3 linked regions of the Cricetulus griseus genome follow. The protein of the gene in region 3 purifies or fractionates together with the protein of the main gene of each other region. This does not show direct contact. Links are inferred from orthologs where the notes say so. Each region holds a gene or a part of one and is shown on either strand. Other genes may lie near its edges.

What was found.
Region 1: the proteins of Kat7 (region 3) and Brpf3 purify together in Homo sapiens (affinity purification with mass spectrometry; 3 studies listed by BioGRID and IntAct, counting the BioPlex papers as one, with this or other methods). This does not show direct contact. The link is inferred for Cricetulus griseus from reciprocal best matches to the Homo sapiens genes KAT7 and BRPF3.
Region 2: the proteins of Kat7 (region 3) and Ing4 purify together in Homo sapiens (affinity purification with western blotting; 6 studies listed by BioGRID and IntAct, with this or other methods). This does not show direct contact. The link is inferred for Cricetulus griseus from reciprocal best matches to the Homo sapiens genes KAT7 and ING4.

Annotation. Positions count from the first base shown.
Region 1 is NW_023276806.1:233,898,315-233,902,658, forward strand, and holds the start of Brpf3 (bromodomain and PHD finger-containing protein 3), read left to right. Parts: upstream 1-1,517; 5' UTR 1,518-1,629; intron 1,630-2,070; exon of another isoform or gene 2,071-2,090; intron 2,091-2,137; exon of another isoform or gene 2,138-2,291; intron 2,292-4,344. Other genes in the region: basic proline-rich protein-like, read right to left, coding at 834-1,517. UniProt on the Homo sapiens protein: Scaffold subunit of various histone acetyltransferase (HAT) complexes, such as the MOZ/MORF and HBO1 complexes, which have a histone H3 acetyltransferase activity.
Region 2 is NC_048601.1:21,386,018-21,390,153, forward strand, and holds the start of Ing4 (inhibitor of growth protein 4), read right to left. Parts: upstream 2,802-4,136; 5' UTR 2,735-2,801; coding exon 2,698-2,734; exon of another isoform or gene 2,584-2,697; intron 1-2,583.
Region 3 is NC_048600.1:108,451,259-108,454,737, reverse strand, and holds the end of Kat7 (histone acetyltransferase KAT7), read left to right. Parts: intron 1-566; coding exon 567-673; intron 674-1,248; coding exon 1,249-1,350; 3' UTR 1,351-2,913; downstream 2,914-3,479. UniProt on the Homo sapiens protein: Catalytic subunit of histone acetyltransferase HBO1 complexes, which specifically mediate acetylation of histone H3 at 'Lys-14' (H3K14ac), thereby regulating various processes, such as gene transcription, protein ubiquitination, immune regulation, stem cell pluripotent and self-renewal maintenance and embryonic development.

The sequences.
Region 1 (4,344 bases), on a different chromosome or scaffold from region 3:
AACACTGCTCTGCTCTTGCTCAGCCCAAGCCATGCCCTTCCCTTCTTAAAAATTGGCTATTTTTGCAGTACCCATCTATCGAGAAAGGACCCCTGTAACGAAAACTAACTGCCTTGGTTTACTGGGCTGGTAAACTCTGAATCATTTACTTAGGGTGCTGAACACCTATACTTCCATCTTTGGACCCTAAGAGTTTATTCTCTATCCTTCCAACGGTATCACCCGTGCCCTGGGTATCAGAGCCAAGCAAGCAATTGTGAAAGTCTCTTCAACCGTGCGAGCGAGCGGAGGCAACGCTTTCAAAATATGTCATTCATCTTCATACTCGGTGGCAGCTTATCCATATACCCTGTATAAGCACCATTAAGTATCGGTGTTTAAGACCTCCGTCATGAGAGGTAAGCTTTCAAATTTATAGGCACAAGGGGGTTGGCAAAGGGACCCTTTTCTCCTACTTATTTTTCTTTTATTGGAACAAAAGCCAGTTTGGGTACACCTCCAAGTCTGAAGTTGCTATTTGTCAGGCAGGCGTCTTTTAGAAAGCCGCGTAGTGCATTCAATTAACCGACTCCTGGACGAATCAGAATCGGGGAGAAAAGTATTTCCCATGCCTAGAGTGTCACACGGAACTAGGAAGCTCGCTTAAGCAGACTGTCAAACTTTTATGTTTGCTTGAAAAAACAAAAACAAAACCAACAACAACAAGCCACACAGATGGAAGAGTCGGGTCTGTTGCAGCAGCCGTGTGAGGAACAGGAGGCTCACCTGGACACACAACAGACGCGGGTCTTCCCCGGGCTGTCCTCACTGGGGGAGGGGAGGGGTGGACACCGCTAGACCTTTGTCCCGGGGGCCTGGGGAGGGACGACTTTGTGGGATCCGCGCGGCCACCTGCGCCGGTGGAAGCCACACACCGCCGGGACCTCCTCGGTGGTCGCCTGGTGACACTCTGGGGGGGCGGGGAGGGCGCAGGGGGCTCCACCTGGGGGGGGGGCGGCGGGGCCTCCACGCTCTGACCGGGGTGGGGGAGGCCAGGGCTCCCCGAATTCAGAGCGCGAACCGCTGCGGGGCAGGCCGGGGGTGAAGCGCGGCGGCGAGCCGGACAGCCTGCGCTCGGCCCCGCTCGCCCGCCCGAGCCGGGGAAGGTGGCTCCGCGCTCCGTCTCCCCGCGCAGCCGCCAGCACCGCGCCGGGCTCGGGCGGGGGCACCGGCTCCGGTCGGGCTCCCCGCGCTTTCGCGCTCCCGCTTCGCGTGCGGCGGCTCGAGCCGGGGAGGGAGCGAGGGAAGGGGTGGAGGTGGCGGGGGGAGGCCGAGGGGCGGATCCTGCCTGGGGGCTGATCCCTCCCTCCCTCCCCTCGGCCGGGCTCCGTGGCGGCAGCGGTGGCGGCGGCGGCGGCGGCTCCATTCCCCCTCCCCCCGGGAGCGGCGGCCGGGCCGGGGGAGACGGAGCGGAGGGCCGGGGCCGGGGCCGGCGGCGGCGGCGGCGGAGGAGGCGGAGGCCGCGCTCCCTCAGCCATCGGGCCCGCGCGCGGACCTGCTCGGTGGCCCGCCCGCTCGCCCGCTCGCCCGCTCGCCCGCCCGCCCGCGCCCACGGGGCCCCAGAAACCAGGGGCCCGGCCGGCGGCTGAGGTAAAACGGGGCGGCGGCGGCGGCGGCGGGGCCGGAGCGAGCGGGGCGGCGGGGGCGAGCGCGGCGCGCAGGGGGGGCAGCCGGGGCAGCACAGGGGGGCGTCCCGGTGGGGCGCGGGGGCGACGCGCGAGCCACCCCCCCCCACACCCCGCGGAGCGAGGGCGGCGACGGAGCCGGGGAAGGCGCGCGAGGGGGAGCTGCAAAGCGAGGACCCCCTCCCGCACCCGCCATCTTGTTTCTTCCCCGGTCCTGGCAGCCGGGCGGCTAAGCCCCGCCCTCCCCGTGCTCTCCTATTGGCCGGGCCGGGCGAGAGTTCCGCCTTTCGGGGGCCGCTCTCGGCGCCCGGGTTCCCCCTTGACGGGCAGGTCGGGCGGCCAATGAGTGCTCGCATCTCTGCCCCCGCCCCCTCGTCGGCTGGCGCTCGCCTTCCCTGCGAGGGTCGGACTCGGCGTCAGCCTGTGGTGCGCTTCCCCTGAGGTGTCCGGGGAGATGTTCTCCCTCTCCCCTCCGGGGGTCGGGGCCCTGAAGACTCCCGCCGAAGGGGCGCCCCTCTGAAGGGGCGGGGAGCTTGTCCGGGGTCTCACCCGGCCTCCTGAGCCTCCCGTGTGGCGTGCAGGGCGGGTTCGGTCCAATTGTTGAAACCCCTGGTTCGGGGGGTCAGGGTGAGGTGGGCGAGTCGAGTCGGGGCTCGGGCAGCGGAGGACGTGGCTCGACGGGGTGTTGGGGGTACCAGGGACGTGTGTAGGAAAAGACTTGCGGACGTGAGGAAACTCCCGCCAAAAATAACGCGGTCTGGATGTTAGCTCCTTGTAGGCGAAACTCTTGGCTTTCCTCAGCCGCAGCCCTGCCTCGCTGTTTGCTCCTGGTGACAGCGGGAGCCCCGAGTGTGTGTGGGGGGGTCGGGACTGGAACTTGGGGGCGGGTTGAGAGACGATTTCTGAGGCTGCAGATGGGTAGAGAGGGGCACTGTAGACTCTTCAAAATTGATACTGAAGTACCTGTTCCCTCCCCGGAGGCTCCCTGCCTTTGGAGGGTTGGGGAATACGTCGTGTTTGTTCAGGGCTGGGGCTGCTTCGGAGACCTTGACCCCCCCCCCCTTCAGAGACAGGATTTCTCTGTGTAGCTTTGGAGGCTGTCCTGGAACTCACTCTGTAGACCAGGCTGGCCTCAAACTCACTGAGATCCTCCTGCCTCTGCCTCCCGAGTGCTGGGGTTGAAGGCGTGCACCACCAATGCCCTGTGCTCCCTTGACATTTGTAAATGATCTAGTGGCCCCAGGGCTTCGGGAACCTGAACAGAGTTGCTGTCATTGTTCTGTTTTCCTTTGGTTCCAAATGGTTTTGTATACCTGCCACATATTGCTCCTCAGACAGCTTAGTTTAAGTCACACCTTGGAATTTAAAGGCCTTATCACTATGGTTGTCAGCGATAATTTATTGATCGTTCTTAAGAAAACATTTGCCTAGACAGTGGTGGCAAACACTTTAATCCCAGCACTGTAGAAGCAGAGACAGGCAGATCTCTGAATTCAAGGCCAGCCCAGTCTACAGAGTGAGTTCCAACACAGCCAGAGCTACACATAGAAACCCTATCTCAAACAACAAATATGTTTTTGTTCATGCTTTTATCTTTTTTTTGAGGGGGGGTTTCGATACAGGGTTTCTCTGAAGGTTTGGAGACTGTCCTGGAACACTCTTTGAAGACCAGGCTGGCCTCGAACTCACAGAGATCCACCCACCTCTGCCTCCCGAGTGCTGGGTTTAAAGGCATGCGCCACCAACGCTTGGCTGCTTTTATCTATTTTTATTTATTTATTTTTTGTTTTCATTTTTATGTGTATGCATATTTTGGCTGATATATTTCTGGTTTCCCTGGGAGTCCAGATACCAATACCCTGGAACTGGAGTTAAAGAGTTGTGATCCACAATGTGTGTGCTAGAAATCAAACCTAGGTCCTCTTAACTGCTGAGCTCTCTTCCCAGCCCTTATATATTTACTTTTTAAGGGAGAGTCTCACTATGTGCTGTGGCTGGTCTGAAAAACTGTGTAGATGTGGCTGACCTCAAAGTTCACAGATACTGGCCTGCTTCTCCCTCCCAAGTGCTGGGATTAAAAGAATACCAATGTACCCAGCACTGCCCGTGATTTATTGATGAAGTGTGGAGACACGGGGACATTAAAAACTTTGTCCAGGTTACAGGGGACTAAGATTAAAACCCAGATTGGTGCAGAACGTCTTTGTAGAGATCCCAGGGTCTCACTGGTGTTCATAACCTCCCAGCTCGAACACAGGTGATCAGGAGTCAAGTCAGCTTTGGCTGAGTCACAGTTTTCTGAGCTTCTGTTTCTTCATGCCTGACATGGAAATGATAATGTCTGCACAACCTCCTGAGGTAGCCATGAGAAATGGTAAAAAGAAAAGGCCATTGTAGTGTGTGAAAGTATGCTGAACTGTCATTGTTGTATCTCAAAAGTCTTCCTGTTGTTCCTACCAATGATGGCCTTGGTAACTGCCTGTAACTACTCCTTAGGGGCTTGGCATAGTTCCCTACATCCAGAGAATGCTGTGGGAAGCCTAAGGCTTTCTCTGCTACCCAAGGGTGGATCGGATGTAAATATCAAGGGATAGAGATTTCTGAGGTAATAGTACATTGAGAATTCATCTCAGATACTACCCCAATCAGCTTGTCCTTGAGTCCAATGAAAATCTCCAAA
Region 2 (4,136 bases), on a different chromosome or scaffold from region 3:
GAGACCAGCCTGGGCTACAGCCTCCAAAGCCACAGAGAAACCCTGCCTCGAAAAAACAAAAAAACAAAAAAACCAAAAAAAAAAAAAATGAGGTGCAGTTCAGCTTCTTCTCATTCTCCTCATTTGAATTTTTCTTTCTTTTTTCTTTTGACGACAGGGTCTCTGTAGCCTAGCCTGGATGCCCAACAATGAATTTCTAGTTATCGTTTATCAAACTCCCAAATGTTGGGACCTAATAGTTCTGTGTCAATATACCAGATATATTCAGTGTTGGGGAATCAAACCCAGGGTCTCCTGCATGCTAGCTAAGCACTCTTAACATCCCAGCCCTGAAATGGGTTTATCTGGGAAGGATTCATTTGCCTTTGTTCAACAGAGAAGACTGGCCTCTCTCTCTCTCTCTCAATTAGCTTGTCTCTGTGTAACCATCCCATCCTCCTCCTCTTCTGTGACAATCTACACACTAGTTTTCCCTTTATTTTCAGTTTCTGCTCCATCTTCTTTGCCCCCCACTTAAAATACCAACCTAGTTCCTTCAGCACTCATCACGCACACCATGACCTTCCAGTAACTCCTTATTTCTCGTGCTCTGAGCTTCCTATCTCGATCACCTCACTCAGCCACGCAGTCTCTCTGCTCAGGCCTTTTGGGTGCAATCTCGCTCACCAGCTTTCCAAGAGCTGTCTTCCTCCTCCCACCCCACCATACCTACTCACTTTCTGCTCATTCTTCAAAGTGCAGCCCAGAACTTGACTTTCCCAGACTGTGATAGGCGCCAAGGTAGTCTAGTGAATACTTTTAGTTTTTTATCCAACCATAACTAAATAATTAACATAGTTATTTACTCTGTGTCGTCTCCCTAGCCTTCCAGGGCAGATACGTGTCTGTATCAATTTTACAATTCCCTCAGGTTTAGAATTGCCATGCAAACAGAAAGTGCCAGGGAATCCTTGAATAAATGCATTATTAGCTAAGTCTCCCCATAGAAGCAAAATCTCATCCCCCCAGCCCAGGGGCTTGCATCTGCTAGGCAAGTGCTCTACCATCACTTTTTTTTTTTTTTTTTGGATAGGGTCTCATTGTGTAGCCCTGCTGGCCTAGAGCTCAATATACAGACCAGGCTGGTTTCAAACTCAGAGAACTTCCTAAGAGCTGGGATTTAAGGCATGTGCCACCACACCCACCAATTTTTAAAGTGTTTCTACCGGCGGCACACGCCTTTAATCCCAGTACTTGAGAGGCAGAGGCAGGTTGATCTCTGTGGGTTCAAGAGACCAGCCTGGTCAACAAGAGCAAGTTCCAGGACAGCCTCCAAAGCCACAGAAAAACCCTGTCTTGGAACTCACCCCCCCCCAAAAAAAGTTTCTAATAACTAGATGATGGGAACAGATTTAGTAGACTTCCTATGGCAGGTCTTACCCTGTCCTTGGAGCAGATGGGAGGAAGGGGGAGTGGAGGAAGTGGGAAGAAAGGACAGGGGGAGAACTGGGATTGGAATGTAAAAAATAAAAAAAGAGAAAAAATGTTTCTACTAAACCAGGCATGATGTCACATGCTTATAATTTTAGCCCAGGGGAGATGGAAAGAGGACCTGGAGTTCAAGGTCATCCTCAGCTATGTACCATTAGACACTGTTTGAAAAAACAACAAAAAGGTGCTTCAACATCAGCTCACTAGGATCCTTTAAGTCACCAACAGATTACCAAATCAAAGGATCCACCCTTTGTTCATATTATCTTCTCTTGAAAGTGACTTTCTTCCTCCTAGTCTTACAAATACTAAACCGTAGAGCCAGTAACTTCAACACTGATGTCTTATCCTTTAAAGGCTGTTTCCTTGAGATTTTTTTTTCTTACTTGCTCACTTTCTTTTCCCTGAATGATCTCACTGTGACAGACTTTATACCTATTTCTAAGGCAAATATATATATTTGTATGATGCCCAAATCTCCTACACTGCAGAATTCACCTTGATTTTTGCTTCTCAATCACAAAGTTATGGTTAATATCTAAAAATTTCTGTCATTCTCTAAGATCAGGTTTGCATTTCTGACTTGGGGACTGCTGCAGTTAACTGATCAGTTACTTTCCTTTATTAAAATCAATACTCTATTTTAACATGCAAATATCTTGTGTGGCATAAAACACTGTTTAATCTACTTCCAGCCTATTCTCAGTCCCCAGCCTGTCAACACACACAACTCATTTTATGAGAACTGGATTTTGCAAGTGTCCCAGTTTAAACAACTCAAGTGGTCGTTCCTTGCATCCACCTAGTTTCATGAGAAGCCACTCTGGGGACATAAATGACTAAAGGGAACTACACCACGTATTTGCAGCTGCTCCAGATGACAATGAGTGATAACGACCCTGGGCAACTTAGGAGACAAAAATGTAGCCCGAGGACAAGGACCCTGAAGAACTGAGCCAGGAAACACCTCCCCTGCCACCCGCATCGCTTCGAAACGCAGCCCTGCCCCGGCCGGGCAGCCCTGCCCGGGTCTAAACACTAGCGAGGCCTCTATTGCCCTGCCCCGCCCCCTCCTCCTCCTCCTCCTCCCTCGAATCAATCTTCCCACGCAACTCTTTCTCAACTGTGAGCTTCAGGCCCCCAGGGCCTCGGAGCTACAGACTCTGTCAACCCGGACCCTCCGCACCGCTCCACGACCCACGACCCGCTGCTTCGGTCGGCTCTTACTGTCCAGATAATGTTCCAAATACATCCCAGCAGCCATCTTGAAGCAAAACAAAGCAACTTCCGATCCGCCCCGGAAGTGACTGAAACTAGACAGGCGCTGGAGCCATTCTTGGACTAGAGCCTTTCCGTACTTCAAAGGACTTCCGCCCTTACTAAACTGTCGCCCCCCAGATACATCCGCCCGACATTGAACCTTTTCGCAGGGCTAGTCGCGGTCGCCCACAGCGAGGCGGCTTTAGCTTGCTTCCGCCCTTACGACGCCAGTGTCTTACCGAGACAGGTATGACGTCACACGAGGTCGCCATTTTGCATTCTCTAGCAAACTTTTTTCCCTTCCAAACAGGCGTATTTGGTAGATGGGGGAAGAAACTGTTTTGTCTAGAATTATATCCTGCAAACACCTCCTTTCAGCAAGTAGGGAATCCATTTATTTTGCTCTGCTTATTTTGAATTTGGTCATCAAAGCTGAAGCAGGAATAATCTCCGAGACAGATGCTTTCTTCGAAAGTTGTCAGGCCTTGCAAAACTTTTGCACCTCTATTCACTTTTTTTTTTTTTTTTTTTTTTTACAACGCAGGGTTTTCTTGTGTAGCCCTGGCTGTCTTCGAACTCAGAGGTCCGCCTATCTCTGCCTCGCGAGTGCTGGGATTAAAGGCGTGCGCCACCACACTTGGCTAAGGTTCCTGTTCTTTAATTGACATACGCTCCCATAGAGCACAACACTCATTGATTTTGCAGTTGTGCTCTTAACGGGAGACCCCATGTTTTTGTTTTGTATTTTATGTATGATGTTAACGTGACTCCCAAAAGACTGGGCCATCAAGGTTTATGATAGCTAGACCACCATCAGCCATCCCCCTAGTCAAAAGTATCATCCCTTGTGCAAAAGCAAGAGCCTGGCAGGTTGCTGCTACTCAAACCCCATGGTGTAATAGTGGTGGAAGAGTCTTGATAGCTTCGCTTCTAGTTCACCCATCTTTCACAGTAATCGCACCACGCAGCATACTTTTAAGATAGAATTTTAGCTCCCTGAGACCAAATATGTAAAAAAGGCCAAGTTTACTACTGAGCAGATACTAAAGCCTGGCAGTAAGATGTGGACCCCATTCTAATTACAAGAGCATGCTGTTGGGACAATTTAACCTCTGCCCAGTCCTTTCTCTATACAATGAGCAACAGTAGGCAAAACTACCACTGGGTGGGAGTGGGAATGGACATTCACCCACAAAGGTACTTATTCCAATACTTGTGATGAAAACAAGGTTGTCAGAGACTGTAGTCAGTGAGGAAAAAAAAAAACAAAAAACAAAAAACAAAAAACAAAAACAACCCACCAGGAAGCTAACCAACATTGTAATACATTAGATACTGTCCTGGATGCCTAGTCCCAAATTAAATGGGGCTTATTGATGCACATCACTAGGTAACGACTGTGAATC
Region 3 (3,479 bases):
AGTCATAAAGTGTTTTTTGCCATCTGGAGTTGTTAACACTCAATTCTTCTAAAAACCAAGAGGAGGACCTGGAGACCTGGCTCAGCATTTGAGAGTACTGGCTGCTCTTCTGGAGGAATCCGGTTCAATTCATTGCACCTAGATTGTGGCCCACAACAGTATGTAACTCCAGTTCTAGGCATACATGTGGTACATAGACATACATCCAGGCAACACACGCATATGCATAAAATACATACATACACATGTGAATATATGTCATTTCTTTTAAAAATCAAGAAGAATGGTTTCAAGTATTATGAAGCATTGGAATTTTAGGAAAGACATCTGGCCCTTTCACAGGAAGAATTTCTTAACAAGATTGACCTTGATTTCTAAGTGGCCCAGAGTAGCTTCTTGCCATTGAATCTGTTTTGGGTAGTTACTTGGGCTGGTCAAACATTTTGATCAGGTAACCTAAGTGCCACAGATTTGTGCTCTGGAAAACTACATGTAAGGGGGCCTTGGGAGACATGGGAGTGGGGTTCTGTGTTTCAACTGAGATCTCAGTAGCGCCTCTGTTACAGAAATCAGCCAGGAAACAGCTGTGAATCCGGTGGACATTGTCAGCACTCTGCAAGCCCTTCAGATGCTCAAGTATTGGAAAGGCAAGCACCTAGTTTTAAAGAGACAGGTGAGAGTCCCCTCAGCTGCCCTTGGTGTCCTCAGAGCTTAACAAAGCTCTGTGGCTGCACTACCCACTGTTTACTTCCCTTAGAGGGTGTGACTGGAAGCTCCTAGCCTCGTTCCAGCTGGCAGCCAGGTCCTCGTGGCCTTTGTTGCTAAGCTTATTTCCTCCCTTGTCCTTATCTGAGCTTTGGGTAAGCTCTGTCAGATCTGGATGACACAAGCTAAGCAGCTTTGTGAGGCCTAACACTTCTGCCCATCCATGGGAGTTCTCATGAGTTCCAGGAGTCTCATAAGTGGTTTGGGATTATTTTGTCAAATGCTACCTCAGCTCATGCCATTTTTGCATTTTTAGTTACTTACATGTAATAAGTAAAAATGAATTAATAGTTTTCAGTTCTCATAGAATGAAGAAATAGGAAGAAATAGAGAGGAAAGCAGCTTGCAAATCCAAATATAATATCATGTTTTACCTTTAATATATTATTGGAACCTGGATGAATCTGTCTCTAGTCATTTTGGAATCTGTTTTAAAGTGTGTTAGTTTCATGTATGTAATAGTTGCTCCTTTGTTCTTCACAGGACCTAATAGATGAATGGATAGCCAAAGAGGCCAAAAGGTCCAACTCCAATAAAACCATGGATCCAAGCTGCTTAAAATGGACCCCTCCCAAGGGCACTTAAAGTGACCTGTCCTTCTGAGCCAGCGAGCCCAAGCAGTAGGAATCCGTACCCTAGGGATCTGTCTGTCATTTCTGTTGCTCTTGTGATTGGCAAGTACAGTATCCTTTGGGAAGGCCATCCCCCTCAGGACTGTCCTGGCTCCGACCTTCGTGTACACTGCAGACACTAGTTCTGAGGAACTGTTGTTTCGGCCTCAGTGAGGTTGCCTGGACGGATCTGTATTAGGCTCAAGTACAGATCCTCATAGCACTGACCCAAGGAGTTGTGTTATGGTACTGTACCTGTCCAGTCACTGGTTCCTTCCTCATGTTCTTTAGCTCCGTGAGGTTTGTTGTGTCCTGAACTTTGTGCTAGTGCTTTTTCCTGCCTGGTCACCAGACCTCCAAACATGGTTGCCACCGAAGGGCCCTTTGCAGTTATTCCTTACACATTCTTCATGAAGGGTGGGGAACAGGCAGCACTTGTGAGTATATGTATGTCTACTAGGAGGGTCCATTCATCCTGGGTTTCATCTCATGGTTGCTTTTTTTTCTCCGTTTTTGTCAAATGACTTGCCTTTAGTCAGGCTCAGGCTGACCCGAGCTTGGGCCGCCTGAAGCGTTTCCCAGGGGATCACAGCACCTGGTCCATGTGGATGAGACGGGGTGAAGAAGAAGAAGAGGTGGTGCCTCCATGTTTCCCTTTGTATTCACTTGTGGGCACTGGGGCAGTAGCTTGTTGGAAGGAAATGGTTAATTTTTTTTTCCACAGCAGAAAATGCCCCCTCTTTCTTTTTTTTCCTGCCCCCTTTATGTTGGCAGTTGCCAAATACTTTAACAGTTTTCTTTTATGCCACATGTTAATTGATTCATCACACTGCAGATATTTCCACCTGCCTTTGCCAGTCTGGTATAGGGCAGCTATACTTCCACATAAGTTGCACTGATTTTGTCCAGAGCTTCCTGGGAGAAGTGGAAAGTGCTTGAAAATGGCTTCTGTTTCTCAGCCCATGACTCAGCAAGACAGAGTGGCCACACCCTACCGGTTTGCTTCCCCTTTCAGTAGTGCCTCCCCTACAGCAGGCTGAAGTGCTTCTGTCCCTCCGAGAACTTCATTTCCCTTGTGGGACTTGCCACCATCATCCTGTTGTCTGGTTTCCTATTTTTGGTGGTGTTAAGTGAAGGAAGAAATGTTCCCTCTAATTTCTCCCTGTCCCATTATATAACCTGCTATCTTGGGGCAGCTTTTGATGTCTGACATGTCACCCTTCCCAACTTGGTCTCCTCCAGCACTGCTGTCTTCACGTGGCACCCTCACCACAATCCTAACTCTGGTCATTTGTGCCTTTCTCTTGTCATCTCTGTACACTACTAATATTCACTGTGGGTTGGAGGGAGCTGATTTTAAGCATGTTCAGTGGCAGCTCCCTTCCAGTTTCAGTGTCACTGTTAAAATTTATCCAAATGCCGCTTCACTGGGGATTTTTCTTAAGGGGTAAAGGCCTTTTACAGATGCGGAACCCTTCCCCACGTGTGGTAGAATGTGCTCTTCTATATCTACTCAATAAAGCATGTTCTCTGCTCATGTCTGATTAATCTGATTAATGATAATAATTTATATGTGGCAGTGATGTGATTGACCTGTGGCTAATGGCTCAGTGAAGTGTTAGTGGGGTTTGTAGCTGTGGATTGCTTTCCCCAGTAAAACAGATTGTTGACAGAGTGAGTGTTTACTCTGTACTCATAATTGGCAGAACAAATTGAATCCGCCTCTGTTTGGCTCCAAGAACTGGTTGTGCACAAAAGTGGCTAGCTGGTTTAACATTCTTTGATTCTTCTGCCTCTGATTTGGGCGTGGAACTAGTGGAAGGTTGAGATAGGTGGGGGTACCATGGATGTTTATAGGAGACAGAAACAAGTGTGGTTCTTTTTCTCCAATATGTCCACTACTTTCAAGTCCTGCCATCTCTAATCATCACCCAGCCCAGATTGTGCTTTTGGAAACAGTCACATTTTGCTTGTGTTTGCTGGGGTGGTCTTGCTCACTGGCAGGCCTTCCTACTGCAGTTGAGAAATGCAATGAAGAAAAATAGCTTCCCCTTCTATTCATCTTAGAACAGGATTTGTTCAAGTCTCTGTTGTGACATTTGC